Lepisosteus oculatus: one gene and its partners. The protein of the gene in region 2 interacts with the protein of the main gene of each other region in a pairwise test. Links are inferred from orthologs where the notes say so. Each region holds a gene or a part of one and is shown on either strand. Other genes may lie near its edges.

Evidence for each region.
Region 1: the proteins of segment polarity protein dishevelled homolog DVL-3 (region 2) and snx22 interact in binary tests that used the Homo sapiens proteins (3 or more experiments, as listed by UniProt). The two-hybrid records come from large-scale screens. The link is inferred for Lepisosteus oculatus from reciprocal best matches to the Homo sapiens genes DVL3 and SNX22.
Region 3: the proteins of segment polarity protein dishevelled homolog DVL-3 (region 2) and Wilms tumor protein homolog interact in binary tests that used the Homo sapiens proteins (3 or more experiments, as listed by UniProt). The link is inferred for Lepisosteus oculatus from reciprocal best matches to the Homo sapiens genes DVL3 and WT1.
Region 4: the proteins of segment polarity protein dishevelled homolog DVL-3 (region 2) and bahd1 interact in binary tests that used the Homo sapiens proteins (3 or more experiments, as listed by UniProt). The two-hybrid records come from large-scale screens. The link is inferred for Lepisosteus oculatus from reciprocal best matches to the Homo sapiens genes DVL3 and BAHD1.

Annotation. Positions count from the first base shown.
Region 1 is NC_090700.1:60,321,890-60,329,647, forward strand, and holds the start of snx22 (sorting nexin-22), read right to left. Parts: upstream 3,022-7,758; 5' UTR 1-3,021. UniProt on the Homo sapiens protein: May be involved in several stages of intracellular trafficking. Interacts with membranes containing phosphatidylinositol 3-phosphate (PtdIns(3P)).
Region 2 is NC_090708.1:16,798,845-16,806,019, reverse strand, and holds the start of segment polarity protein dishevelled homolog DVL-3, read left to right. Parts: upstream 1-4,148; 5' UTR 4,149-4,518; coding exon 4,519-4,679; intron 4,680-4,852; exon of another isoform or gene 4,853-4,998; coding exon of another isoform or gene 4,999-5,072; intron 5,073-7,175. UniProt on the Homo sapiens protein: Involved in the signal transduction pathway mediated by multiple Wnt genes.
Region 3 is NC_090716.1:7,828,687-7,836,274, forward strand, and holds the start of Wilms tumor protein homolog, read right to left. Parts: upstream 3,061-7,588; 5' UTR 2,604-3,060; coding exon 2,210-2,603; intron 1-2,209. UniProt on the Homo sapiens protein: Transcription factor that plays an important role in cellular development and cell survival. Recognizes and binds to the DNA sequence 5'-GCG(T/G)GGGCG-3'. Regulates the expression of numerous target genes, including EPO.
Region 4 is NC_090703.1:12,318,230-12,326,217, forward strand, and holds the start of bahd1 (bromo adjacent homology domain-containing 1 protein), read right to left. Parts: upstream 3,066-7,988; 5' UTR 2,837-3,065; coding exon 2,812-2,836; exon of another isoform or gene 2,455-2,811; intron 1-2,454.

The DNA of each region.
Region 1 (7,758 bases), on a different chromosome or scaffold from region 2:
AAAGTTTCATTTTAAAACTGACCATTTCCTAAGCCTGCCCAGCAGTGGGTTTCACAGAAATAAACGCTTCTGAATATTGCGACTCAATATTTAAAGAAAATGTTTGACAGAAAAAAAAACTAACAGTAGTAGTTTATGTTTAAGAAGATATTTCCTTTAAAAATACCAAAGTGGTTACAAATATCTAACAGGATAGTATTTTAATGTAATTAAATTGTGAGAATGTAGTAATGTACTGTAGGTATGGAATTGTTCTAATGAAATATGTGCCAGTCCTATACAATCACTTGTCTTCACCACTCCAGTCATGTCACAAAGTCTGTTCTTAACAGTCACATCCGGCTACTGCAGTGAAAGATGTAGCAATTCTGTACAAACTATTCAATTGATTTTAATATAGATTGCATTAAATTAATTTCATGCATGTAATTATCACCAGAATGCATTGTACCTGAAATTCACTTGGGATAAGCACAGATAAGATGTCGTCACACTGTAGGAATGCTATGCCAAGGAACAACTAATAGACAGCGGTGTGATTTTCATTAGACACAGCTGCCCTCCGTACAGAGCTGTTTTTGCAGCTGTCACTGGTCTTTTGTCACCACCAGCTAAGTGGTACTTTCTGCTTGTCTGTGTACAAGTCTGTAAGCCAGCAAGACTGTAAGGAAGCAAGACTGAGTCTGTAACTTATTTTTTCCCAGGATGATACTTATTCCCACAGTTGTTTTTTTGATCACACAGTGCAGAAAGAGGCGTTTACAGTACTTCAGTCCCTGCAGCAGATTCGCTGGGCTCTGCCTCTATGAACGTTGACACCACAAGATTAGACACATGGAAATGTCTTAAGCTTTTGTCCTACAGGACAAGAGTAAAACACACCCTTCATCAGAAATCAAGTTCCAGTCAACCATTACAGCTAAGAGCTTTGCCTGGAGTCACATGCTAAGACAACACCCTGCTTGGGTCTTCAATCCATCGCAGGGCACACACAAACAGTCAAACAAGAATAATTTAGAGACACCATTTAACCTAACCAGCTTGTCTTTGGGAGCCGTAAGAAAACCCAGGCTAACTGAGGGAGAACATGAAAATTCCACCTGGAATGTGCCCCTGATTGGGAATTGAACCCACAACCCCAGAGCTGTCAGGCAGAAATATTAACCGCCATGATGCCGTGATGCCCAAACGCAGAGCTAAATGTGATAAATAATGGAAGTCGAACAGTTGACAAGAACCGGTATATTTTAGAGGAAACAAAAGGTACAGTGACCATTCTTACTTCTGTTTTTGGAGATATGTGGGGTGTTACTGGAAAACCCAAGCATCTCAAAACCAAAAGAACATCTCGCTACACTGTAGGAAATGAAACAAATATTGCTTCTCATTTGTAAGACAGGAATGCGACAAGAAATTGTTCATCCTAATTCTATAGCTAGTTTCCAGTCAAAATCCAGTGGTAGTCTAATGTTTTGAATATAATCTGGCTAGTTACTTTAAGTAATCAAAGGATGTTTTCAAAGGGGCCTCTCTTACTGTATATTTAAAATTAGCTGAATGCTTCAGCATTAGTTTTACAGACACTAAGTCTAATAAAATTAGAATGTACTTTGTAAAATTGTTTTGATCGCAACTTGAGTTTGAAAATTTACAAAACTATGGTTTCTTACATTTCAAGGTCACTATCTAGTGTTGATATATTCCTTTTCATACCCCTTCGATTTTGAGCTTGAAATATTGACAAAATGGGGTGAGCCAATAAAAAAACAAAGTCAGACTCTAAGTCACAGTTCCTGTCTCCACTTCTTGATTGTGACTGATGTCAGAGACGTGAGCCAATTCCCTTTCTCTGACAGGCAGTGAGTCAGGGTGCAGGCTGCTGTACTCCCTTCAAGCTTGGAAAAAACAGCTCCTTTCACATTTGCCAACCTGGATGAATATACTGGCCTGGGTAAAGAGTCAGCAAAAGAGACATGCAATACATTCCTTTCCAGAACGAGACTGCTTTGGAATGGTGGAAATCTTTCAGCTAATGGGAACACAGTGCAGTGCTACAGGATGTTGAAGTAGATGTGCTGTTAGCATACAGATGTCCCACCATGTTAACAGCACATCTATTGTGACATAAAAAAGTACTGTGTTAATCTTTGTCAGAATTGTTCAACAGAAGCCAGACAGACAGCATGAGTACCGCAGTGACCACTGTACAAAATTTACCAGTAAAATGTCTGGTGGGGCATTTTTTATCTAGTTTGATTTATTTGTATATAGTGAAAAATTAGGAATCAGGCTAAAGAATGTATTAGCCTATTTTTTTCTTCTTCAGGATTATGAAATTGATCTTCCTTTCAGTCAATCAGTACTTGACATTACAAGCCTGGGTATGGTAGAATAATTTATATCAATCCTAGAAATCACAAAAGCTGAACCCAAACTGGAGCTTGTTAATGAGCATGCTGCCTTAAGATTTATTTTCTGTGTTGACTCAAGACTCCTGTGATTGACCATCACTTGTGTTTTAACAGAGACAAAGACTTGTAAGGCCTTTAACACATGGGGACATTTTGCAAGCTTTTATGGGAACCGGGCAGACAGTGTTTTGGGGGTGTAGAGTGTGACGAAAATGTCAGGTGAGGAGTAGGGATGGGTGGAGGGGGAGGTGTGGTGTGATTTGTGTCCAGAGGGGGCTAACAAGCACACAGATATTCTTCCTTACTGCCACATTGCTGAAGGGAGAAGGAGCTGTGCAAGCTGGCGATCCCAAAGGCACAAAGAGACTTAAAACAGTCATTCTCTAACAATTTTAAGTGTCTGCCGCAGGACAGGTGTGAGCAAGCATTTCAGCATTCTCTATAAACACTGATTCTCTAGGTTTAAGCTTGCACACAAAGAAAGCCTGATCTATCTGTACAGCAATAAAAGCCTATGTTAACATTTCAGCCTGCTTCCTTGTTAACACAAACCTCAGTTTGAATTGTTTTTTCTTTTTAATCTGAGTATGAGAAGCCACAGCCATTTAAACACCAAACCTCCCTCCCTCCTCCCCCTGCAATTGCCTTTAACCCTGCATTGTGTCAGAATCCTCACTGAAGCTGAAAGTCACAGCATCAGCAAACTGTGAGATCATGTGCAGGAAGAGAACAGGAAGTAGCCTGCCTGACTCTCAGGCCTCGTCAGTGACCTCGTGCGGGAAGAGTCCTCATGAAAGACAGTCCTGCTCCGGCTTCTCCAGTCGTGAACCTCAAGTCTCCTTCTGACTGGCATGTGAGTGTAAGACAGCGTCAGACACGTGCCTTGAAACTGCTGGCTGGGCGCACTGCCGAAAGTCAAATAAGGTGCGAGCTGTTTTCAGAAACACCCTGACCGCTGCTGGTGAAGGTGACTGTACTGTCTACACGAGGGCACAGGAACAGGTAAAGGTGTATTCCATGTTGAAAAGAAAAGAGACACAGAGGCTGTACAGCCTTCTTCAGTTGAGTCCTGTTCCTTTGCTGCGTACGCACACTGAAGCAGCTACCTACTTGAACTACAAAGCATATGTATAAAAGTACTAAAACTCAACGCCAGGGAGCTTTCTCTCCAGAAAAAGTGAGGTTTTCCTACGTCTGGAAAAGAGGGATTCTGGTTCAGCTCTGGGGTGGGATGATAAATTATCCGATTACAGATGATGAAAATTGTGTATTGCGAATTGCGATTGAATACAGTCCGCCATCACTAAAGCACAGAACATTGCACTGCTAGCCTTCAGATGGTTGCAGCGTTAATTTCCTTCCATCACATCCACTCCAGGAAATGTAGTTGTAGTTTCAGAACAGTTAATTAATTTTTTAATCAGAAAATTATTTTCATAAATAATACCAGCAACAGATTGAAGAATTATGAAAACAAATACATGCCCAGGAGTTAAGTAATGGCGAATAGGCATTAGTTAAATACAGATTACACAAACTACTTTTAAGGAATAAGCTAACAGTGTGGAAAATAAATTGCTAGATCAGAGGAAAATTATACATGGAGATGGTCTGGGGTGCTGCCCCAGAGACAAACGGCCTAATAAGGTTTACTAAGACAACTCCATGACAACGAGGCTTTCCACTGTTGGCCTGTTATAACTAAGCGTGGTTTTATCTGTGAAAGTATGAAAGTGGAAGAGAAGGGGGGGAAGGGGAACGATGTGTCAGTAATGAACTGTCCAAGTAGGGATAAAGTGCTCGGTAATGTATTTAAACAACTAGAGGGAAAGACAAAACTTTAACTATAATTGTAAAACACAGGAAAATAATTTCCTACATGAAGAAAATAAAGGTCACTGTAAAAACCTATTTGTATTTTTTTGGCATTTTTTTAATGAACGTGTCTTCTATTGCAATTAAATGCCTGAATGATAGCTGACAAACGAAACTTTTTAAGACGTTCTTTTTTCAGTTATTTTCAGCACTGCGCATGACGAGAAGCAGATCTGTGAGACAGGAAAGTTCTTTTAGCTAGTGGTTTTAATGAAGCCACTCAATTACTAAACATAGAAAAACAATAAATAAAAATAGCCCTGGTCCGTTTTGGTCAAAATTATACTTTCAAAAAAAGCTCCTAACGAAATGGCTTCTTGCCAAGCCCGGGGACAGAAAAGGGCTGCCAGAATTAAGAGTTAAACAAGATACTTCAGCAGTCATTTCAATGTTGACAATGTTGAACTACAGTATGAGCCCAGTGGATTGTGGTCACGAGACCAGCATGCTCCAAGCCATCAGTTTCTGCTTTGGCTTAATGGTACTGAATTTACCTCTCCATGTCCACTTCTAACCTCAGGTGCTCGGGAAAACACACAGGGTACTCATACATCCCATAATCCTACATGTACCACAACCGGGCCTGATAATTTCAACACTTTCTGGAAGTACACAAGGTTTGAAATTAATGCAAACTCCAGGACGACGGGATGACTGGCTGTAGCACATCCATAAACAGGATTTCAAGAGAATCACAAATGTTTGGCATCAGACACAGCATCTTTTCATAAGCTTCAAAAATCTCTGAAACCCAATACAGAAAACAATAGTGCTGGGAAACAGTTGGCTTATCTGAAGAAGAAAAAAATACCTTCCAGCTACAGTCTTGTTGGGACTTGAATGCTCTTTCTCCAGAAATATGCAGAACGAAGGGAAAAAAGAAAGAACTGGAAACCAAAACTGTGCTTTTCCCTTAAAATGGAGAACCATAGCAGTGTCAGCCAGGGCTAAAAAGGTTGAATATTTTTTTAATATAAAAAGGACACAATATGAGTCACAAAAAGTAGAAATTGATCAAAACCGCTTTTTAAAAATCAGTCGATGGCATACCCGAAAAGGGAACTTATATATGCAGTTTGTGAGGAGCTCAACAGTATCATGCTACATTGCCGTACTGTAAATCTTGTTACAAACATTGATGTACCACGCTGATGTACCAGGTTGGTAGGGACAATTCTATCAAATGATTAGAATAATTTATTAATAAATAATAATTACTTATACTTGTATAGCACCTTTCTAGAAACTCCACTCAAAGTGCTTTTACAGGAAATGTAAAACTACCACTACCAATGTGCATCCCCCACTTAGATGATGCAAGAGCAGCCTTAGTGCACCAGTACACTCACCACACAGAGTGAACAGGAGAACAGAGTGATGAAGCCAATTCAGAGATGTGGATTATAAGGAGGCCACAATTGGTAAAGGCCAATGAGAAATTTGGCCAGGACGCCAGGGTAACATCCCTACTCTTTGAGAAACACCCTGGGATTTCACCGAGAGTCAGGACCTTGGTTTTACATCTCAACCGAAGAATGGCACCTTTTTACAGTGTGGTGTCCCCGTCACTATACTGGGGCATTAGGACCCACACAGACCATGAGGTGAGCATCCCCTACTGGTCCCACTAAAACCTCTTCCAGCAGCAACCTTAAGTTTTTCCCAGGAGTCTCCCATCCAGGTACTGACCAGGCTCACAATATTATTATTACAAATTGAAAATAGCAAACAGTTATTGTTAAGCTGTATAACACTCCTGTAATGCGAGAAATAACAATACCTTGTTCCTCAAACAGATACTGAAACCAAAAAGGCTTGACTAGTTTTATCCAGTGACCAGTAAAGATGGCAGGGGGTGTGTCATTAGGAGGGACAAGTGGAACCAGCAAACAGTAGCAGGACATATTTATTTCTCCATTCACAGGGTTGTGTGCAGGACACTTTCATGCCTGCAAAACACTACCCTGGGCTTGATCTACACCTTGATCAATCAAGAAAAAATTAAAACAAAAACCTTTTTACCGAAGAGAGAGAAACCACGTTCTGTGAAAGATAAATGGACATAAAGGAGGACTGTTTCCACACTTATTTTTTGTGGCATGACTGCAGGAATTATGATGCCAGATAAGGTCTTAACAGATGCCACAAATTCCCTAATTGCACATCCCAGAAGAACACCCACCTGCAGGTGTGCAGTAATAGGAAATGCTCCTGGGTTGAGACAGGCTGTAACGGAGACGGGTAACAAGTCAGGCCCAGACGTGTTGCCTGCACCAGAATGAAATGGAAACTATAAGTTCTTTGGAAAAAGCAAAGAGAAATCATCATCATGCCTGAGCTGAAAGGAAAGGCAATTCTTTATAACACTGATACTCAGCTCTGGTCCTTAAGGGTCACACTCCCACATTGTGGGTAATGCCATAATGTGGTTTTATAAGCATACTATTAATTAGGCTGAATATCTTGCATTCATACAGCTGGCTCTTTTACTGAAGCACCTTGCTTAAGGTACTAGAAGGTACTGATAGTAGCGTTCCACCCAGGACTGGAACCCACAGTCAAACAGTTCTGGTTACAGAGTTTGAAAACCCTGCACCACTCCACTGAATCGCTTTTCAGAGTAATTCAAAACACCTTCACTTCCCTGGTAATTCTGATGACTTTTATGTGGTTCTCCATTCAGATGACCATCTTTTAAAATAAAAACAGACATTCTAAGAAGACTGGATATAAAAAGCGTTTTTGGGGAGATGAATCCAAGTGCAGTGCAGCATTTAAAGGTCTTCACAGCTTTGTGTGTAGTTCATTTTCTTGTGTTTCCATCAGAAACATCTTACATTTGCTTAAATAGTAACACTTGCAGAAATCTAAGTTATTTTGCCGGATTTGGAAATTTCTTCTTCTGGAATAATCATCTTTTACAAGTAACTGGAACCACAACACATTTGAACTTAAGCTTCAAGGAGTTCCTCTCTTCCTCCAAAAAACTGATCTAAATAGGTCACATTTACTATACACAATCTGCAAAATAAGTTGTTGCACTTAATTCCTTCTCCAAGTCCTCCGGAAATGCTTAGTTTAGTGTTAGCCATTTAGAAATAATACTTAGATCCAGTGTTCTGTTTAAGTGACAAACTAAAACATATTTTCAGTACTTTTCAGTAATCTCAATGACCATGCTGTATGTTTTACATGAAAAACACAAGAATATGAAAAAGGTTTAAACAGTTTAAAAAATAGTTTTAAAACAATTTATATTTATGCTATTATGAAATGCCACAAAGGAATCCTGTTAATCTTGAGTATCAAACAGAAGGTTTTCATTAAAACGCATTGAAGGTTCTCTCATCACTAATTAGACCAACGGATATTCTGAAAGATGAGTGATTTTGAAAGAACTAGTAATGAGGGATAAGAAATTAAGAATTTACATCCAAGAATAATGGAGCAAACCCAGCGGTACAACTTACAA
Region 2 (7,175 bases):
GCCTTGCCCAGGTGGATGCCAGCAGAGCTCTGTTGGCTTGTGGGATGGTCTCTTGCGAATGAGCTCAGCTCCCGGCAGAAAGGACATGTTGCAGCTAGTCAGAGTTAGCATGGGACAGGGGGCCTGGGCAGCTCTCCCGGGTGACTCGCGAGGTCACAGGGGTCCAGACCACACAGCCTGCTTGTTTTAAAAGCCCCCAGTCAGCTGTGTCGCTCTGCTTGGGGAATCCTAACCACAGCTGGCTGATGACATAGCTCCTTGTGGGGGTGTCCTAAGCAGACCTTTGTGGGTTGAGAGCCCCTCATGGGCTATTCTTTCTAATGTTTTGTAATAAAAAATTGAGTTCATGAAGTGCTTGGGGATGGATCTATAAATAGAGGACAGTGCAACTTTCGTAGCATTTGGACTGGATGGTCCTGCCTTAATTCCTGGTGCTAAAGTAGCTCCTCCCACCTTATTCTCCAGCCTGCCTCTCAGCAGGAGGGGGCTGAGCCACATTGGTGCCATGCAGCCCTTCAGCTACTAATTTGGAGCGTGACTGGCCAATTGCTGCTTCAGCCACACCCATTTATGAAATGAGCCCGCCCCCCCGGTCTGGACAGACACTCTTCCTGATTGGCTCCACCTGTCTGCCTGCGTTTCCCTGATTGGAGAAAGAAACTTTTTTTAAAAAAAAAAAAAGCAAGCAACCTAATTAATGGGAGAATTTCAGAATATGGTGATTTACGTTAATTTTGTGAAATTTGTTTATCATCACTGAGTTCATGGATGATAATTGACCTCACAGCCTGCCTTAACGATTCTGATGGAAGTTTAGAAAAAGATATACAATGTTTGTGTTTTAACAGGCTGTATTGTCGAGGTAGCAGGGGATGTGTGTGGGGGGGGGGTTGGCGTGGTGTAATTTACCAATATGAGGCCTTGTCAGAAGCCTTACTGATTTTGCACAAAATGAAACACTAGTGTATTTTAATTCTTTATATTTGAAATAAACGCAGGTAGTGTCCTGCTCTGAAGAAAGCTGTCTGGGATGGTTTGAATTTTTTACACACTCCTTGGGGAATGTATAGCTGTCGTCTCTTTTCGCCTTCTCTGTCTGGCACACTCAGTCTCTCGGTGTCTGTACACAGAAAGCCACCCTGTACACCCTGCAGGTGTGAATGACTTGCAGATATTGCACCCTGCCACCAGCACAAACGTCTGTCTGTCCACAGACACACACTCTCCCATTCCACCCCACTGCAGTGCTTTAAAGCCAGCGACTCAATACTGAAGCAACCACTTGGAGTGACCGGAAGAATCGGCCAAGTAGAGAGAGTGATGCCGTCCAGCTTTCCCAGCCCCAAGACCTGTGACCCCAATGTCTGGAAGTCGCCATCCCTGCCAAACTCTTACTTCAATGCGTTGATGCCCTTAATTAAGATCGGAATTGGCCTAAGGCCTCCAGGTTTTGCTTTTGCGTGCCTTATCTCTTAAAGTTTAAGTCAAATACAGTATATAATTTCACAAATTAATTTATGTCCAAGACTTTTAAGAATTAGTCGTTATTTCAGAGAAGTCAAGAGTCAAGCTAGATTGACCGGGTCCCCAGCTGGGCAAGCCCTGTCATGGAGGCCCAAAGTCCATCAGATCCAGCTGGTCTCTGTGAAGCACTAGCTTAAACCTCAGCTGTGCTCTACTGATGCAGTTAAGCCAATACCCGGAAATAGCTGAGGCAGGGGTTAAAAAACCAGCACAGCACACCTGTGCAATACCAGTAGAGAGTGGTCTGGAGCTGTGTGACACCAGCACAGAGACACAGCGAAGTACAGGTTGAGCTCTGGAGCTGTGTGACACCAGCACAGAGACACGGTGAACTACAGGGAGAGCTCTGGAGCTGTGTGACACCAGCACAGAGACACGGTGAACTACAGGGTGAGCTCTGGAGCTGTATGACACCAGCACAGAGACACGGTGAACTACAGGGAGAGCTCTGGAGCTGTGTGACACTGGCACAGAGACACGGTGAACTACAGGGTGAGCTCTGGAGCTGTATGACACCGGCACGGAGACACAGCGGCCCGCAGGTTGAGCTCTGGAGCTGTGTGACACGGCGAATTACAGGGAGAGCTCTGGAGCTGTGTGACACCAGCACAGAGACACGGTGAACTACAGGGTGAGCTCTGGAGCTGTGTGACACTGGCACAGAGACACGGTGAACTACAGGGAGAGCTCTGGAGCTGTGTGACACCAGCACAGAGACACGGTGAACTACAGGGAGAGCTCTGGAGCTGTGTGACACTGGCACAGAGACACGGTGAACTACAGGGTGAGCTCTGGAGCTGTGTGACACTGGCACGGAGACACAGCGGCCCGCAGGGTGAGCTCTGGAGCTGTGTGACACTGGCACAGAAACACAGTGGCCCGCAGGGTGAGCTCTGGAGCTGTGTGACCCGGCACAGAGACGCGCCGGCCCGCAGGGTGAGCTCTGGAGAAAACCAGGTCTGGCAGCTCTCTGCAGTCAGGGAACCAGAGATACTCCTAGGCAAAGCTGCAGTAACCAGCTCTGTCCACTAGAGGGTGAGATTGGTCCACCAAGAGATGAGTGGCACATTAACGGGTCAGTATGGGCACTTTTAAACTGAATTGAGTCGGCTGCATCTTTCATTGCGGAAGGGCTCCTCACTTTCTAACAATCCAGGTTCCCACACATCCCTGTCTGGTCTTCAGCAGGGTAGCAGGTGAGTCAGCAGCCACTACAAGCTTTTCAGCATAAAAGAAAATAAGTGCCTGCTTTAAATGGGGTTACAGTTAATTGCAAGGGGCCCTTCTCCTGCATCCCAGATAAGTTCTTTAAAGGTTCCAGAATGGTATGACTGGTTTGTAAGGTCTTATTTTCATGAGGAAAAAGGAGTTACATTCTCTTATGGGACAGAAAGGAAATCTCTCTCTCTCTCTGGTTGTGTGTGTATTGGACAGTACTGACCCCTGCCAGGTGAAGTCTGTTTTTCACTGACCTGCACAGCTGCCCCTTTAGAGCTGCCCCTCAGCAGCGCATGCTAATTCACAAATTGCTTTTATAGTTTTCAGCAATTGTAGGTGTAGGTAACAAAAGGTTATGCTGACACATCATTTTCTTCTTCCTGACAATGTAGACAAAGCAAGAGCTGGGCAAACAAGTGAGTTTAATATAAAAAATATCTGGAGAAGTTGTTAAAACTGTGCAATGCACTAGTTAGACCTCCATTAGAATAGTGTGTACAACTTGACTCCACATGCAAATCAGGAATATCTGCTCAGAAATCACTCCAGATTAGAGTAACCAGACATTCCTGGGCACTGACAGGCTGAAGGAACTGAATATTATACTCTCCAGCAGAGAAGACTTCAAGAGGACCAGATTATAGCATTCAGAAACCCAGTTTTTTTTTCAAGAAATAACTGCAGCAGTCCTACATTCAATCGAGCCATACTGAATCAATCAATGAGTTCACTATAAATGAGCTATAAGCAAATGCAATCAGGGGGAAGTGTGTAATCACACAGGCTTAGTGGAACCAGGGGAGGAATGTATTTTCAGGGTTAAGGTATAGAGCAGCTTGGTGGTGCGGTACTTAGTCTTGCTGCCTCGTAGTGCTGGGGTTCTGGCTTCAATTCCTGGGGTGCTATCTACGTGGAGGTTGTATGTTCTCCCCATGATTATGTGGGTTTCCTCCCTTCCTTCTGGTTTCTTCCCTCAGTCCAAAGACATGCTTACTATCGGTGACACATAATTAACCAACTAATTCCACGCAGTTCCGCAAATTGTATTAATACATCTCATAATCGAGCAACATCGATCAGTTGATGGGATCAATCGCGCTCAACTCCTCCTCGTCTATTCTGTCATCAGAATAAGCCGTGGCCTGGACACTAGCCGACACGCGCACTGAACGGAGCGCCCTCCGTATCTGATCCAGCCTGACCCCGATGCAGGTCCGACGCAGACGCTCATGCAGAAGCTTGAATTGAGGAAGGATGGGAAATTGTATTGTTCCGCGGATTAGTCCGCCTAGCGACGCTGGGGGGCGCTGATCGACCAGTGTGCATTTCCATTGATTTTTTCTCCATTCTTTTTCCCCTCCTCCTGCAGAGGGAGTATCCTGGAATAACGAGAGAAAGACGGACAGCTGCTACTGGGAGAGAAAAGGGGGGGGGGGACGAGTGAGAGAGAAAGGGATCGGAGAGCACGGATCTGGAGATCCCGTATAAACAGGAGGTTTGGAAAGAAGGAAAACTTTTTCTGTATTTTTTTTTAATTCGGAGAAAAGAAGAGGGGATTGAACCAGAAGGGATTGGTTTATTCTCGCACCGGAGCTGTTGCGTTTGTTTTCTGGGTTTGTGTGTGGGGGCAAGACGCCGCCGCGGTCTCTCCGGCTTGCCGAGCCAGAGGATTAGAGCTCGCCGGTCGGTGTTCGGGGGGGACCCGGGGAAGCGCAGCGGAGAGCCGGCGGCCCCCGGGCTGGATGCGCCTGGCCTGCCCCTCCCCAGCGGCTCGCTATGGGGGAGACCAAGATCATCTACCACATCGACGACCAGGAGACCCCGTACCTGGTCAAGCTGCCCATCCCCGCCGACAGGGTCACTTTGGCAGACTTCAAAAATGTCCTCAATAAACCCAGCTACAAGTTTTTCTTCAAATCTATGGACGACGATTTTGGGTAAGGCGGCAGGACACCTGCACGGTTTGTTTTGTTGTTGTTAATTGTTTCAGTTCTGGGTGACAATTGTCCGTGTTATTGTTTTTTTTTCCTCCTTTATTTTTCTTTGCAAGCCAACTACTTCTGCTCTTGCCCGTCCCCTCACCCCCTCCTCTTCCAACCCCCTCCGCCGCCTGCTGCCGCTCCCGGCTCCCCTCTCCGGTGTGCGGGGAGAGAGTGACCCCCGGTCCCGGAGCTGGAGCTGGGGAGGGAGGGAAGGGAAGATGGGAGCGCTTGGACACTCGGTGCTTGGTGCGGTTTGCAGAAAGGATTTTAAAAAATGTCGCGGAAGCCAGATTTTTTTTTTTCCATATCGACAGCGTCCATTTTGGAAATGGAGGAGTCCTATATAAGGTTATTGCCTGCGCTGGCGGGGGGGTGAACGCAGGAGAGCGCCTGGATAGGGGGAGTGAGCAGCTCTCTGTGTGGCCGGAGCCTGGGATTCAGTTACAGGCTCTGGAAGGGGGTTTGGTTCTGGCGGGGGTGGGGGGTTGCAGGACCGAGGTCAGACGGAGCTGGTGGTGCATTTTTGGTGGAAAATAAAGTCCAACAAGAATCGGGGGAGTGAGCGAAAGAGAGAGATGGTGGGAAGGTCCTACACGAAAGAAATCCCAACAATCTCGCCACAAGTTCAGTAGGGGGCCGGTGACATCACCTTCAATCTTAAATCAGAAAGCAGACGGGAAGGATTTGTTTTAAATGCAACAACAGTCCTTTCACATAACTACAGCCCGAGTACCTTTTTAATTTGAGTGCAGGAAGGTTTTTGTTTCAGCATTATGCGCGATTATCGATTCCATTTCTTGCTCTTGCACCCTAACATGTTAAAAAGGAGGGGAATTTTACTACCCCAAGCGCTTGCCGCTTGCCGCTTGCCGTGCGTTTTGTGCGGCGTCTCTCTGCACTCGGGAGTGAAAATGGCGGATACGAGTGTGGAGAGGTGGGGGTGGCTGGTACTGCTTTTGACGGACGGGACTCTTTTGTTGTGAAAAGAAAAGAACGAGGAAAAAAAAATCTTTTGTCCCCCATTAGTTTCTCACACACGGAGCCGCTCTCTCCTCCCTCTCTCGGGGGCCTTGGCCTGCGTTTGGTGCGCGGCGCAGCTTCTCTGCCCGGCGAGGTCGGGCTGCCTCGCCGGCCTGGAATGTGGGTTTTGGGAAAACTGTGAACCCGGAGGAGCCGCAGCTCGCTGTCAGCTCCGCTCCGCTCACCCTCTCTGTCCTTGATCTGCACACATATGAGGCCGGGCTCAGACTGAAACAAAGAGGTGCCTGGCATCTTCGGATGTCTTCCAAACGCAGCGCAGCAGGCACTGAACGCCGAACATCAGCTGTTTGACACATGCAGGGCAGGCCGGGCGGCCGACTCAGAGTTGTTTAGGTGACGTTGTCTCAGTTCCATTGTCTGACCGCTCAGGCTGGCCTGTGCACACAGCTCTCGCTACCTGGCTGACCAGGCCTTTTCCCGCACACCGCTGTTAGCAGGCCTCCTGCATAATCGCAGGGAGAAAGAGAGTGTTAGTATCAAGACGCAGAAGTTTGGTGGGGGGAAAAAGCAGGCCAACTCGGATAGGATTCTGAGTTAGGTGACCGGTAGTCCAGCCAGTGAAGAGCAGCCTTTGTGTTTTTGTTGTTGACTGTCCTGCCCAGTTGGTTAAGAGGGTGTTTAATAAGGCTGGTTGGTGTCAGGGGCTGTGGAGGAGGAGGTCAGGGAAGTGGACCTGCTTTGTGTCTTACTTGAGCTAAACAGGAGGCAAACCAGCACTTTCCTCAAGAGACACTGGTTTATATTAAACCTTAGATCTTTGTAGCTTAATGACTCTATAATTGGCCTAATTGGTCCAAAATGCCCCCGTTTCTGGGTGGATCTGACCTGCTCAACACCAGGCTGTGGGTTTGTGATTTTTCTGGGGTCTGGCAAGAGGCTCTGTGTGGAGCCAATGTTGCCTGTAACCCTGCAGGGCTGTCTCTTTCAAGAGCTGTTCATTTACCGTGGTCTGGTAGGTGCTATCTGGGAGGCTGTTGAGAATCGGTAGTCTGAAAAGCTCCTATCCAGTGTGTTTCCACAGTGAACTTGTGCTCTTGTCTATAGAGTGTTGTTCATGGCCTGTTCCAGCAGACCCACGCCATTGGTCGTACACACTGTTTTTGTTTTAAACGATGAGTAAATGGAGCTAACAGTCACACTGAAGAGAAGCCGGAGCAGCAGCCGGGTTGGGTGGAAAGAGTCCTTTCCTCCGGAGAGCCTGCTGGGAGCCCAAAGGCTTAGGAGTGTACTGTACATGAAAAGCTCGTAAAAAGACGTCTTCAAAGCAGGCCTGTCTGAAAGCTGTGACGATTTTCTGATCCAAATGAGAGAACAGAGCAATTTGTCAGTTGGGTTTTCAGACAGGCCTGTTTCTACAACTCATTCGGATTTTGAGCCTGTTGGGGGGGGGCTGACCTACAGCAGGTCTTG
Region 3 (7,588 bases), on a different chromosome or scaffold from region 2:
TTTCATAGTCTGATCTGCCTGCTCTTACCAGCTCAGCTACTCAGGAAATAGTAGTTGTCTTTTGATTTATTTTTTTCATTTGCACAACATTCTTTTTTGACTGGCTTGGTACAGACTTTTCATGACCTTCAAAACAATGCACCAAGCGGAATGATTTTTGGCCATGTTTTCCGGTGTTTGCCTGGTCCAAACCTAAGGAATGTGATAAGGAGTCTGGAGCACAGAGCAAAGCTTTTGATAGCAAGGTTTCTTTAATTAGGACTTTATCAAAGTTGGGCTTGATTAAAATGTGCTGAAAATAATTGAAATTTGTCTATCTGCTGCACACTGTGATCTTCAGAAAGAATCCAGTTATTGGGAAAACCCAGATGAGTGGGAGATGAAAAAGAAATGGGCAACATTTCGACAGTTTTATTTTCCAACACTGCCAAAACCAGTCTATAAGCCAAGGTAAAATCATTCCCACGCTCTGAAAGAGTTTTTAATGCTAAATCCAACCTTGACGGTAGCTCAAAAGAAACATTTTTTGAGCCTTTCATTATCATTTATGCACAGATGCAGCATTTAAGGATATGCAAAACTGTACAGCTTTGAGAGAAAAAAACTTTGACCCTTATCACTTATCGCATGTAGAAAATAGTCAAACCAGAGTGCTGTTTTTAAAAATGATGGCTCACACATAATGATAAACGTGTTCAAAATGGGAAAAAAGATGAAATATGAAAATGTCAGAAAAGTTAAAAATGTTTCTTGTGTTTTATTACCCTACCACAGTGCTAACACCGCCAATGTAATCTATTAACCAAAACTTTACATTTCAAGTATTTGCTCCAAAAAGGTATTTTTAAATATTGTAATTTTAAGGAAATTTACTTTTGTGTCAAATGTAGTTTTTCAGAATTCTATTTTTAATGAACAGCAACAGACTTATGTTTTAATTATAAAATCTGAGCATAGTTCAGTATAACTTTTTTTGTCATATAGTTGAATGGTTTGAAAATGACGTACTAATATTATAAAGTATCTTACAGTGCATAATATTCCTAAAGTCATTAAATTAATACTTTTTTGCACATGGATTTAAGGTACTATAAAGACTGCCAGATTAGTCAAGAAATGTTTAATCCTTTATTACATTATCAACAACACCTGTAAAATTAATGTAAAATAAATGATTATGTTTCTGGTTACTTGTATGTTGGAATACTTAGAACTGTATCTTACTGTAACCTTTTATTTCTAAGATTAAACTACAATAGTTCAACAGTACAATAGTTCCTAATACATGAATTATCATTGTGTATCATTGTGCTGTGTCACATATTTTTGCAAGCTATGCAATTCAGATAAATGTTACACACCAGACATTCTGTTTTATAGCATCAGCAAGCAAATATTTAAAAATTCATTCCATTTAAGTAAATGCTTTTTATTAGGTTAGAAATCATATTAAACTGTCTTTTTAATATTTAGAATTCTACTTAAAAGATCTATTATTAAAAAATAAGTAATTGTATTATATTCTACATTTGATATCTCTATGAAGTAATGTTTGAAAGTGCATAACATCTTTCCTTCAGATTATTTTCTGGCTAGCAAAGCACTTATGGTTCCAGCATACTCCTTTATTATTAGAATTATTACGATTCCTATATAAGCTTCAGAACTGAAGCCACCATAGTGCAAACATATTTATTTATCATTTTTAAAACAGCCAAGTAAATCTGCAAGGTATGTCAATAACATATATATTCTCTTCATGTCACCAGAAAAAGGAAATGCTAAATGTGTAGACGATTTTGATCATGTTTAAACCTCAGATCGGATGCTTGGAATGTTAAATCTGAAGCCCTATTGGTATTAAAACATTTTTGGTTTAATTTAACAATTAAAAAATGCCTTTGATGTTTTTCATCAAAAGTGAGTGCCAGGGAAAAAAAAAAATTCTGAATGAAAATGTCAAATAAAGAAAGAAAACAAAACTGTACTTGAAGAATGCGCTCAACTTTTACTTAAATTAAGACAGTGAGTGTTTCCAGACTTCATTCAAAAATCAAATGTCTCATTAAATGAATACATAGTGCTCAATCTTATTTCATAATAGTGTTTTGAGGGAAAATTAATACAGAAATTGCATCTGTCAGAATGTCCACTGAGAAGCAGTGACAGGTTCCAGAATGCTCAGCAGGACTGACACAAGATATCTTACCCTGGTTTCTGGCGGCTGGCTGGGTCTCCATACAATTGGGCAGGTAAGGTCCATTTGTGAACATCCGGGCTTGATTGGGAGGGGGCTGGCTGGGTGTTGGGGCCCCAAAAGCCCCATACCTACAGGCTCCTGTCCCCGTGAACTGACCAGAAAAGTGAACCGTGAAGGCACTGAGGCCACAGTGGTCGTCGTGTGGGTCAGCGGAGTTCCAGTTGGGCTCCTGCTTGATGAAGGAATGAGGGGCGAGGGAGCTGTAGGGCGTCCCAGTATGAAAGTCCAGAACCGGCCCCCACTGAGGAGCACTGCTGACTGGCAAGGCACAGTTCCCATTCCCCGCTGGCAGGGAAGACACTGCCGGGAGCAAAGCATTGAGATCTCGAACGTCCGAACCCATCTGCACCCACCACCTGGGAGCTAATTTCTGCTGCTGCGCACTTGGGTTCACGAAGCGAAGAAAGCAGGGAGGTGAGGGTGCGAAGTCTACAGTATATATTTGCACGTACAAATATATTTACTTCTCGGGAAAGCCTCCTCACTCCGTAGAATAAGATTCAGGAAAGGGTTAAGTCGCTGTTCCAGGGATTCATGACTCTGCGGTGCAGAAACGCTCTCAATTCAGGTCTTTCTCTTCAGACCCCCCCCCCCCAAAAAAAGAAAATGAGAAAACCGCTGTCCACTAATCTAATAGTCCATACAGGTTGGAGGAGCTCTTGAGCGCTGAAATCCTTGCTGATCCAAATGGGTGAGCAGTGGCTGGTGTGTGCTCGAGGCTGCCAAGGCAGGGGACCAAACTGGGGAGTAAGGGGAGTAGAGGAGCTGCCCAGGGCTCTGGTGCTGTGTGTCTATTTGCTTTGGAGTTCCGAAAGCTCAAATACAGCATTACTCTGGGGTAGGAGGAGTCAGGGCCAATGAGCAACCAGGATGAGCCATTCACTGACTAACCTTACCACAGCTTTCACTATCTCCTGCCCGTGCTACACAAAGCGCTTGCAAGTGTGTGTGTGTGAGTATGTGTGTGTGTGGGGGGGGCGGGGGGGGGTGTGGGGAGCTGGAGGGGCAATAATAATTCATCCCCAGCAGTTACATCTTTTCACTTACTCCTAGCACAACTAAAACCTACTTTTAAACTGACTGTGCAAAAGGAGACTGTGGCTTGTAAGTACATCGCATAATATTTATTTCTTGGCTTGGCGAATGCACTTGTGAGTGCTGATTTTTTTTTTAGGTTTGGTTTTTTGGAAGTCTGTGCTGTTTATTCTATAAATACACAGGAAATCTGCTATTTGTGTTTTCGTTTAATATGCTGCCATTTATCATTCAGGCAAAATACAGATGTAAAACGAAACTGGAAAATAACCAAAAATCACTACATTTTTATAATTCGCTAGAGAACCTAGACAGCTAGAGTGTTGCAAGTATTGTATTTGTTTCAAGCAAAGTCGTTGCGTGTTAAGTATGGCTAAAATTGCTTATTATTAGTGACGCATCTTTGGGATAGAGTATAGGATGCTGTGTTTGTGTGTCTCTAGTTTAAAAAAAATAGAATAACAGGATATTCAGGTATAAATTAATCACATGCTATACTGTATACAGCAACAAGCGAAGAGCTTTACCTAAAGTAAACCACACGGCAGTTGCAAGACATCTTCAATAATAAATTTCAGAGTCAAACGCAAAGAAAAACATGACAATGCATTCCTTGAGGTGACACCTTCAAACCGATATTAAACCCATAATGAACATTCCTACAGTACCAGACCATATTCGCTGCAGTTCACACGCTCCATTGAGTTCGTACAGGTCTTCATTTAACCGTTTGAAAGTTACATACAAACATCGTGTTAATGTGTGAAAGCATTCAACCGAATAGATAAACAATCGGGACAAGCTATCGTTACTGTAAGTTATAAGTGATAACAGCTGTACATACAGTATGTTGCTAAATTTTACTTCGTAGCCCAAGATTACTTTCAATTAAGATAGGATTAACATTACTGTCACGTCGAAAAACGTACTTCTACATGTGCGTATAATAATTTACGGGTGGAAGGCAATTAATTTAGGAAGTTTAATTTAGGATTACCAGGTTTCTTACTGTGTGTTTAAAAGAAAGCTGCATGACGGACTTCAAATGATTGCTTATTATGGTTATATATCAATTATACCCGTAATTACTTACATTATTTTACCAGTACTATTGCATTTCGTGTTTAACATTTAACAGTTAAAAAAGGTAGAATGTACGAAACCATTGCACAAAAATCAATTTACGTGTTCAACGGAATTATCTTTCTCCAGTGGTTTGACAGACTTCGTATGTTTCCAGTATTTTCAAACTTTTGTGGAGGAAAAGAGACTAATACAGACTAGGACATATTATACCAAAATTATTTTTAAATGGATGTAACGAGCTTTCAATTATTTTTTAAATTAAAGAACAAAATCATTTCAGTATTTATTTCTCTAAATCCTTCAAGACGATACATCTTACATATTAAAACATCTTGGATACTAAATATGCTACTTGACTATATGTATCACATACAGTATTGTATGTGGTCTTACTTAAGACCTTATTATGAATCTACAGAATATCTACTGTAAAGCCAAGCAAGATAATTATACTTGAAGAAATATACAGTAATACTTTCTTAAAATACTAAAACTTTAACTGAAAAATTTGCAAATTCAGATTATTTCAAGAAAAAAATGTGGGTGGAAATTGTTTAAAATCAGTCATCTTAGATTTTCTATTCGTGTCATCAAAATGAATTTCTAAATATGCTATGGAGACGAGGTAATTGCCTTTTAATTTTAAAAAGCCTTTATTAAATCCGAAAGACTGCTTCTGCAAAAATATCTAATTAGATATAATAACATAGATCAAAATTAAAAAGGATAATCAACCTAACAAACACAAAAAAACAGTAGAAAATGGGTGAATAATAAAATGTTATCGAAAGTTCTAAATTTCAGGTCATGATTTCTATCAGATCCGCCTCATCATCAGTGACAAGTTACAAAATGGACGTTTTCAAACCTTTTTCTCCTGAACAGAATTTGCTCTTAATTTTATGAAAGTTTTAAAAAATGAAAATTGCGGTGAAGATGTACGACAAGATTTGTGCCGAAATCAAAAAATAAAATTCATTTTTAAATATTTAATATGAAAAAGGCAAGAGAGAAAAGTCTTAGGTATTTTACACTGAGTCTAGGAAGATGGTAACGTAACAACTACTCTAATAATGACAATTATTGTTATGATCACAGAGGCAAATAACAAACGATTTTCTTGAATAAAAAACAACTAAAAATTGTCTTTTAATTTAAATTAACGTTTTCTTGGAACGAATATTAAGACAAGGGGTACTTCGCTATTCAGATCTTTGACAGCGTAAGATTTATCCTAAATACACACATCTTTATGACAAAAAATAAAAAATGCATGAGGATTAAATTGTCGAACTGATCTTAAATTTACGCAGGTGTTGATAGTGACATCTTTGACTAGCACATTTATAAACCATATATTTATCTAACAACATCCAGAATAAATAGAAATGTTTAGAAAATAAAGAAAAAATCTCAAATTTGGATTTGAAAATAGAACTGGGAATCTAGACTGAGGTCTGGTTTCTGAGTCATTCTGATTGTGACTATAGACGATAGTATTTTCAACCTTTTAGGTTTAAAGAACACTGCTTTACGCAAAATGAAATCCACCTGTCACGATGTTGTTTGCTCTGATCTAGGCTTTTAGCACTCATGAAGATAGAGGGAATAAACTTCTTCTTGTGTTAAATTGTTCAAATGAATTTCACGAGGATAAAGCCTTGTCAAATTAGACAATGGGAACGCGTTGTTCTTAAACAGTCTATACCAGAGAACTATAAAAAAAACATTAAAAACACATCGAACATGAACATTTCCTCTCTTTGTGTTTGGTCATTTACATTTATTATTAGTAGTAGTAGTATTAATATTACTGTTGTTGTTGATGTTGTTGTTGTCGTAGTCGTGATTTTTAAGTGCTCCTGGAAGTAGACCCATATACAATTTGTGCAAACTATAGTTTCGTCCTGTAGTACAATATGCAAACTATAGTTTCGTACTGTACTTGTCCTTGAAGCTGCTGAGATGTAACCACCGGAAAGACACTTTACGCACCGCTCCTATGAAGCCGTTACATAAAAGCATCCAGCCGGTATTTTTCTTTAAACATGTTTAGTAACACTTGGGTTAGGAGCTTGTAATGCACCTCCGGTATTTAATAATTGTTTTAATCAGATACCCACCGTTCTAACAATAAACATCACAATTATCACAAAACTATATATGAATTTAGTGCACTAGTGAATATTTAGGAATGTGCAGGTCAAATAAATACTCTCTCTAGATGTGCATTTTGCAATATTCCTTATTAAGAACCACAACATATTCACCGCACTACCAGGAACGTCTGACTATATATAAATATTGTATTCTAAAATAAACGAGACTCTTCACCTCAAACATAAACAAAACATAATCTTACATTAAGCGTAAATATACAGTGATCATGCATTGAAACTTTAGTGAATAATCGTGGTTTTCTATAAACGGGCAATGTTTCTAAAGATTTGATATTGAAGTAGAATTGAAATAAAATAATAAATCCTAGTATTGGTGTTTAAAATTAAAAGTTATAAGACGCTGTTCCACCTTATCCAGTAAAATGGGTTTTAATTTATTTTTATATGAAATACCATATTGGTAGTGGAGTTGAAATTAATTGTCTTTATGGCATAGTTGAAATTAAAAATAACCAAACTCCTGCAAAGAATGGAGATGTTCCTGATTGATGTCTTTTTTCTTTTCTTTTTGGCGAGGGGCTACGAATTGTGTTTTGAATATCAAGGGAACATTTTTATCTGTTTAATAAAAAGACAGCTCACCAGCAGGTGCTGACTCTACAATGACCTCAGGCAGTTGCTTATCTTTAAAAAAAATATTATTCAAAACTAAAATAATAAGGGAAAATGGTTAACCGCTACGCTACGTGCAGTTTGTAAATGACAGCCACCTGCAAATGAGTCAAAAAGATTATTTGTGAGCTCTTTTAAAAAAACACGTAAAATATGTGTAGATAAAGTCAAATGACAATGGCTTCAGTATGTGCTTCTTTAGTATAATGCAGGTGTAATATACTACTGAGGTTCAGTAACGGTTCTCACTTAGAGCACACGTTGAGATGCAACTGGTTTGAGACTCGACTATATCATTAGTCAACTTCATCCAGGATTTCCCAAGCAACACAATTTCCCAAGCAACAAAATTCCCAAGGAACACAATTGGCTGACTGCAATCAGAGCTACAGTAGGTGCCCTGCAATCAGTCCAG
Region 4 (7,988 bases), on a different chromosome or scaffold from region 2:
CCTCTCTGTCTTCAATTCGAGTGATTTTCCTTGTATAGGTTACTTATTTTTACTGTTTTATAAGATTTTTTGATCTACTGAACCATGAAAGAATTCAGTAAAAAAAAAAAGTCCATATAGTTAGAGTGTAAAAAAACTACAAATTTCTGTGTCTGTCAGCAGCAAAGATCAAAGTAATTTGATTGACAGTAACAAGGCATGTTTATGCTGATTTGGTACATGTCTATTATTGCTTTTCACATCTTATGGCAAAAAACAAACTTGTGACAGATATCTGCCGTTCGTTGAAAGCATGTTAAAAAAGGAAATAAAGTATTTTGGAACCTCAGCATTAATTGTTCAGTGAGAATATAGGTTCACAACATAAATGGCTCAAAGTTTAGATATTTGTTATCATTCCATTAACTGTTAATTTTTTTCAGGATGCCAAGATATTAAACCCTCTTCATACACTTCCACAAATCATTCATCAGAACAGGACGATAATGGTCTCCAGATATTTAACTGTAACCTCTATGAGAAATTAGGCTGGATTCTAGTGTATCTCTTCTGATAACACTTTAATAAGCTGTGTCCCTGTCCACATTTGTGAGAGAATATCTCATGGTCAGTGCAAATATCATGAACTACTCAGTATCTTTCAACACCACAAAAATACTGTGATAACATAATTCAGGAGAAACAAAACCCACACAGCACAAAACACATTACAAAGCCAAGCAGATGTGCAGTAGCAGAACACTTTTTCACAAAACAGTTGCAGGTGAAACAAGGAAATATAATTGTAAAAGTAGTAGCAGCTATTCTACAACACATGTTAACACGTCTCGCCTCAAAGACCACTGAACCATTAAAACTCTTTAATATGCCTTAGGCAACACAGCAAAGACGCAGCCAAAGGTTATCTACAGGTTAACAGAGCTGCTGGGGGCTTCCGTGAGAATGAAGAGGTGTACCGTAGTTGTGCAGATAAGAGCAAATATACAGTACCATAGGTTTCTGAGGGTTTGCGAATTATCATACTTAGACACGAAGAGAAATTAAAACGCAACAAATGTCCATTGTATTGGAACCAATAGCATTTGTCGCGCTTTTAAAGTTTCCAAGTACGTTTTCTGCGAAGGTGTGAAGAACTACATTTGGTCTCCTCCCCAGTTCATGACAGACTAGCTGAAGTGCTCCTGCATGTGGTGACACGCGACTCGCCCATCATTTACCTATCACAACTGTAAACCGCGGTTTGAACAGAGAACGGAGAATTGCAACCAAATGATCACCTGAGAAACTAAACAATCAAACGACACCGACCGCATTCGGCGTATACAAAACCATGGAACCAGCTTACCGCAGTTAAAATGTAAATGTATGCTTATTACGTTCATTATAACCCTAGATTTGGAAAAAGTGGTATGAAAGAGTTCTGAACAAACGCAAAAATGAAATCGCCGTCCATCATCTCAATGAATAATTGCGTTCGCGCGTTCAAGCAACGATAACTTCGACTATTCAAATTTCATACTTTTTGTAGGACTAACACGTGCCGTTTTAAAGAGAAAATATTTTTTTTGTTTCCGAGCAACTCACCGTAGAATAAACATATTGCAGAAGATCAGAATAAACATAGATTAAAACTCTGCTCTTGAATCTCCATAGTTTTGCGAATAAAACAGAGTTATACGCAGAAATGCTCTGATCATATTGCAATCTACGGTACTTAAAGAGCAGTCATTCCTTCCTTAATCTGACGTACAGTATTTCGCTTCTAGGAAAAGCATGTGTCTGTAACTGTTTAGTCTCGGCCTTCCTTCTCAGCAGGTGTCGATAATAAGTAACGAAGGTTAAAGTCATAAACATATGGGAGAAAGATTAAACGGGGGGATGGGAAAAGGTTTTGTCCAGTCGTGTTTGCATTTCGGGGATGAGCGATAATGTACATGCATTCAAACTAAGATGACCATGAAAAACAGAAGCAGAAGCGGTTCTGCTGGGCGGATCGTAGAAAACCAATTCTTTATTTCCAGAACCCTACGAGGCGCGTATCACCCAGGACCTAGAATGATGTAAATGCCATTCAAACATACAGTCGGTTCGAAACCAGACAGCTGACCGTATCGAAAATACATCAATTACTGCAAATGCAATTATGTGGATTACTCTGGTGAATAATGTACTTTTTGTGGTGCTGAAGTCGAGCTAAAATGATGAAGACCAGCAACACTTTCTCAGTATCTACTGTACAGTATATTGGACTGTACTGGTTGAACTCGCTTTAGATTCTAATAAATTCTAAAGGTTACACAATAAAACATGCATAAAAAATTTAAAGGCACATCGACTCCCATTCTATCAAATGCTATTCTGAAATATATGCTATTGCCTCCAGAGTACATATCAACGTGGATCAAAATATTTAAATACAAATAAAAGAACAAAAAATATGGGTTATATTTTTACCTGTTAAAACATCACGAAGTTTCGGCGGGGATGTGAAAAGATGGCTCTGCTCCCCTCTTCCAACAGATTAGCTATGGTATTTCTTTGCTTCGTAACGTGAAGCAAAAAAATCTCACAATTGACAAGACGTATAAAACGGTGACCTACTTCCGAAGTAGCATGCTTCAAGATAATATTCATGCGCTGCATTCGCGAAACCTGCTGTTGCAGCCTGGCATTTTAAGGCTCATCTTTTAAATTAAAATACATTAACTTTGGTTGCTTCTAGATACCAGCATCACATGCAGCTAACGGTTAAGGTCTGGTATGAAGATGTAGCACAATTAAGTTGTCGCTTTCACAGTCAGCTGCTAGTACCTTCGGAAAAAAAAACGTTTTGCATTCCCCCTTGATCGTCGGAATTTTCCTTGCTGAGTAAAATGCGATGCTCGTCGTTACAGTATCCAATCCACCGATATCATCGTGCTTCCTTTGCTAAAAGTTACCGCGTCCCTCCCATCGGAAAACCTCGAAAGAGAGTCAAAATGACAGATTTTATATGGATTTTAATCTGAAAGTTCCGTGCAGCCAAAAGTGCAAAACGAAGCTCGATTCCTTCTTCCTGATTAGGGCTCCAATCGGAGAAGCTCTGATTTTAATAAAACTTCATCTCGGCCAATTGGGCCGCACACGCACAGCGTCTGACATCCCTACCCGCCAATCACAACGTGACATTTTACTTTTTCTCTCTTCTTTAATACAAGTTATTTTAGAATCCACCCTCCATCGCTCGGCTTCTTCTTCGGCTCTGGTCTCTCTTTTCTGTGTTCCTTAAAGCGCCCGCACGGCGGAGAAACCTCAATGGTGCAAGATCCATCATCATCTTCATCAACCTCATAATCTTCATCATAATCGGATCACCTCACAGCTTAAAAGGAAACAAGGGTAGCTGCAACAAGGCCATATTAGTTGGTTTCACCGTTAAATTGACATTATTTGACCACTAATCTACTTGTATTTTAGGGATCAATACCCCCAAATTAAAATACAAGCAATGAATGAAATGCTTGAAATGAACATCTTGTGGCTCACTCGTTTAAATACTGAGGTTGAAACCTTAACGCTTTTAGTTGGTATTAAAGATCTTTTTCTTTTATAATGGTTAAGAGCCACATTACACCCTTTGCAGTCCCTTGTGTTTCAACAATCTAAAACGATCGATCAATGGTTTATTTTTCGTAGTTCGGTGAATTAAATGAAGACAAATGCACAGGTGCACTTCTTTCCTCTTAAAAGCGGCCGTGCTCAAATCCTCAGTACTCTCATTCAGGTGCTGTCAAAATCTTTGTTAATTACTCCGCCTGCACAAATTTACCTCCTAGAACAAGATGACATGACATATTTCTAATTAGCCGTACAATACCCACATCAACCTAAAAGCTGTTAGTCTAGTAAAGCATTAAGCATTAAAACTGTAAAGAGTTTTATGCATTTCGTTTAACTGGCTGGAGAATACACTCCTTGTACACATTTTACCCGTCTCAAAAATGTAACTGCAGTAACAACGACCTTAAATAAGTAACTCCTGGGTTTCACACATGCTTGAGAACAAAGGAATTCTGTCACAATTTGCGTGATCAAGCGAATGATTTAGCATGCAGTAAAGTAAAAAAAAAAACACCACGATTCAAACAAAATGCCACACTTCCCTTGTGTTAACGTGCAGTTCATAGAAACTGGATGTTATCCTTGTGTTAAGAAAAAGTTTTTTCATTCTTTATTGTCAACATAGAAAAATAAAAAAAAAACGTTTTTTCGCCAATTATAAGATTTGTTTAAAGGACATCAAAGAGCAAATTCCTGGTCAAAACTAGCAACAGATCCGCAGATTAAACGACCTGCAGGTTTCCGTGAGTTAAGCCTACACTGACGGGAAGGGCGTGGTGCCTGAATCATCAGAATTTACAGGATGAATCAAAGCTGATTTATTCCACGTTTCACGATTTTGACTCTTCAACTAAGGGAAAACCCAGCCGGACCCCAATGCGTCCCCTAAAATGATTTGATCGTTTGAAGTTTTGAAAATCCTGTATTTGCCTGTGATGTCGGTTTATTTTGATTTTAATCCACCCAACAAATCGGAATCATATTCGTCTTCATCTTAATGAAATTCATGAAATTCATGTGCGGATTTTGTCACCCAGTACTGATCCCGACATCCAGGCTATTTGTTTTAAGGAGCTGGTAGTCAGACAGAATGAAGGTAACACACAAGGCCCAAATTACAAAGAATGGGAATTATACAACACATGGAAAATTGAAAATCTTATATTTGTATAAATACAAAAATACAACAATTCTGCATTTGGTGTGGTTTTAACTGTTTACAATAAAAGGGATACAGTCTAGAAACACGTTTGTCGTGAAGTAACAACGTGATTAATAAATTAATTGTAACTGAACAAGATCGCAATCGTTTTCCAACGTTCCGACAACTGCATACAGAACTACATCTTGGGCATCTTGGCCGTATCTACTTGCAGCCATATAACTTGAAAACCGATTTCAGCTTCCTCAGGTTATGTGTGTAAGAATACCCTATTTTAAAAATAAACTGCAATCTCTGATATCAATTTGACATAAAAAGGTTAAGTACAGACTATAAGGTTTACTGACAAGCAGAATATCCAGAGGGTCTATGACTCACGGCAGGTGTTTTGCCCCACTTGTTACTGTAATGCATGCTCAAAAAGACAATATATTTACGGGTATTATTGTAAACCTGTGCCTGAAATTGTCGGAATCCTTAAGTCAAATGCTGGGAAAAGTGCTGAGCGAATTTCACTGTCTTGGTCTCCGACTCATTTAGTAGAATCCTATAATTTACAATCGAGCTATTATCTCGCCAAAATTATAACTTCCACAAAGCAACACGACAAGATACTGCATATCAATGGTACCAGTGTTCCCATGCGTAGATCACCAAGGGGCAGGAACAAGCCGACCAGAACTAAGGATTTGATCGCATACAGAAAACTGAACTGCGTTTTTCTATTGAGAAAGGCAAAGAAAAGTTTGATGACTAGTGCTGAAAAATTGTTTCATTAACAGATCTGAAATGGCAGCGTTCGTGGTTATTAATTTCCTGCGACTTCACTCCTTGGTTTAGCATTGTCTTAAATCGTGCGTATTTTTGCGATCAATAGCGCAGCTGATCTCATGAGCGGAGCAAACCCAGAACACAAAGAAAATAGCGGACGTCGGGGGAAATAAAACCAAAAACAGAATTCGATGAAAAACTAACAGTCGGTTTTACAAACCTAAACTATATTCACACATTTCACCAAATTTAATCATTTTAAAAATGCCAGGGCTTAGATTAATTCTATAATAGAACGCCGCAAATCCAGCTAAAAAGCAATTGACGTTTTACCCTTCGCGAATATTACAGTCCCAGCGAGGCACAAGTACAGTAAATTAATATTAAAAGGCCTACTACACTACACTGGCATTTCATAATGTGTTTAAACCCATAGGTAAGAAATAATGCCAAAATTAACATGTACAGACATTCTCATTACAAGGCCGTGGACAAAAAATAGTAAACTGTCACCAAAAACTATTGTCTCAATTTTGCAGATAAGCTCAATTGCTCAATATTTAATTGCAACGTAATACACAAATACAGTCTTTTACAGTTGTGAAATCATGCTTTGGCTTTACAAAACATGAAAAAATACATAAACGTTTTGTGAAAGGTGCAGTTTGCTTAGATTTGTAGCATTTAAACAACCTCCACCTTATAAATGATTAATCTTTATGATTGGACTGTATTTTAATAGGCTCTTACTACTTTCATCTATCTTGCTAATGATACTGATGGGAAGAAAAGTAGCTAAAACTGTGCTGGTCCTTTACAGCATGAAGCTGAATGTGTTCCTTTAGTTACCATGTTACAAAAATGCTGACGCTCTGAAATCAGTCCAAATAAGAGAAAAGAGAGACCAGGTGCATTCATGTTCTGAAAGGAATGTTCTCCTCCTTACAATCTGAACAAATTGAATCTGCTCAGTCTTGAACAGAGAAAACTGTGAGGGAACCTAATTCAAGTACTCAAAATCCTTAAGGGCGCTAACAATATCAACCCACTGGACTTCTTCAGCAGAACAACTCGGAGGGCTCACATGGAAACTATGAGGAAAATAAGTTTGGAACTGAGTTCAGGGAAGCGCCTTTTACACACAAAGGCTTTTGATGGGTCCGGAGCAAGCTACCTAATCATGTTGTTGAAGTTTAGATTATTACTTCTTTTTTAAAAAAAGGACTCACTAGATCTCTGGATCAATGCACTTCCAGTAACCACTGATCTACACTTGCCAAAAACGTCCCTCTTCTCATTTGTAACCTACAGTATCTTTATCTTCAACTATTTCTTACACTCTATCGCTATGATATCATTGTGATGTAGTGATAGTGGCTCCATGAGTTGACTCCATCTTGGCTCAAATCGTGGGCGATGGAGTGGCCCTGCGCCAAGCTGGCAGCTGAGGGACTGGGAGGTGCTGCAGAATTCGACACACCTGGGCTGAATTAGTGTGGAGAATGCTGACTGGGAGGGACAGGGACAGAAAGAGAGTAGTTGGAAGGCTGGGAGAGGCAGTAGAGAGAGCCTTATGCTGGCTCTGGAACAAGAGAGAACCAGTTCCTGCTCATCTCCTCCCACCCTCCAGCTTAACTCCTTTCCCTGTGGACCCACCAGCAGGAGGGCGTTACAGACAAGGGTCAAAGCGCCGGCTGAACGCTGGATTCCATCTGATTACATCAATTCCCAGCCAGCAGCAATAGTCAGTGCACCTACTGACTAAGGAGAGCATCAGTGGATGTATATAAGAAGTACTGAATTCAACAGGAGGAGAACAAAGCTGGTAGGATAGACTCTCCATGGAATCAGTAATGCCTCTGAGTGTAATCGAGGGGGCTGTAAGAGAGCAGTCGGCTGGGAGGAATTCAGGCTGAGCCTAGACTCCCAACAGGACAAGAAAGTCCAACAGCTTGCTGCTGTGCCATACTTGGTGGCTGTTACAAGAAGCAGAGAAAGGAAGACCTGGAACAAGGAGTCTGCTCAGTCTTCCCCAAAAGGGAACCGGCTTCAGAGGCAGAATCCTGGAAGAGGTCCAAGCACAGTAACTGTAATGCCAGCCCACTAAGACACCAGACAGTCATGTGACACAGCTTGAAGAAAGGCTGCAACGGGCCTAGAATGGCCACAGAAAAGGAAAGTTGCCCTTGATTGAGAGGCAGACAGTGTCAGACCAGAAGGAAGACAAGCTCTGGTCGGAAGGAGGAGGTGCGCGCTGACCTGTCAGTAAGCCTGCGACTTAGCCGCGGTTTGAAAGGGTTTCAGTTTGTGTTACAGCAGGACCCACCACTGACCTGCAGTGAAGGGGTTAGGCTTTTGATCACCTGCTGCAACAGTGCCAAGTGATCAAGATTACCCAGAGCCTGCAGAGGTCAGATTGCTAACAGCAAACTGAAGGGCTGTAGGGATCAGCCCA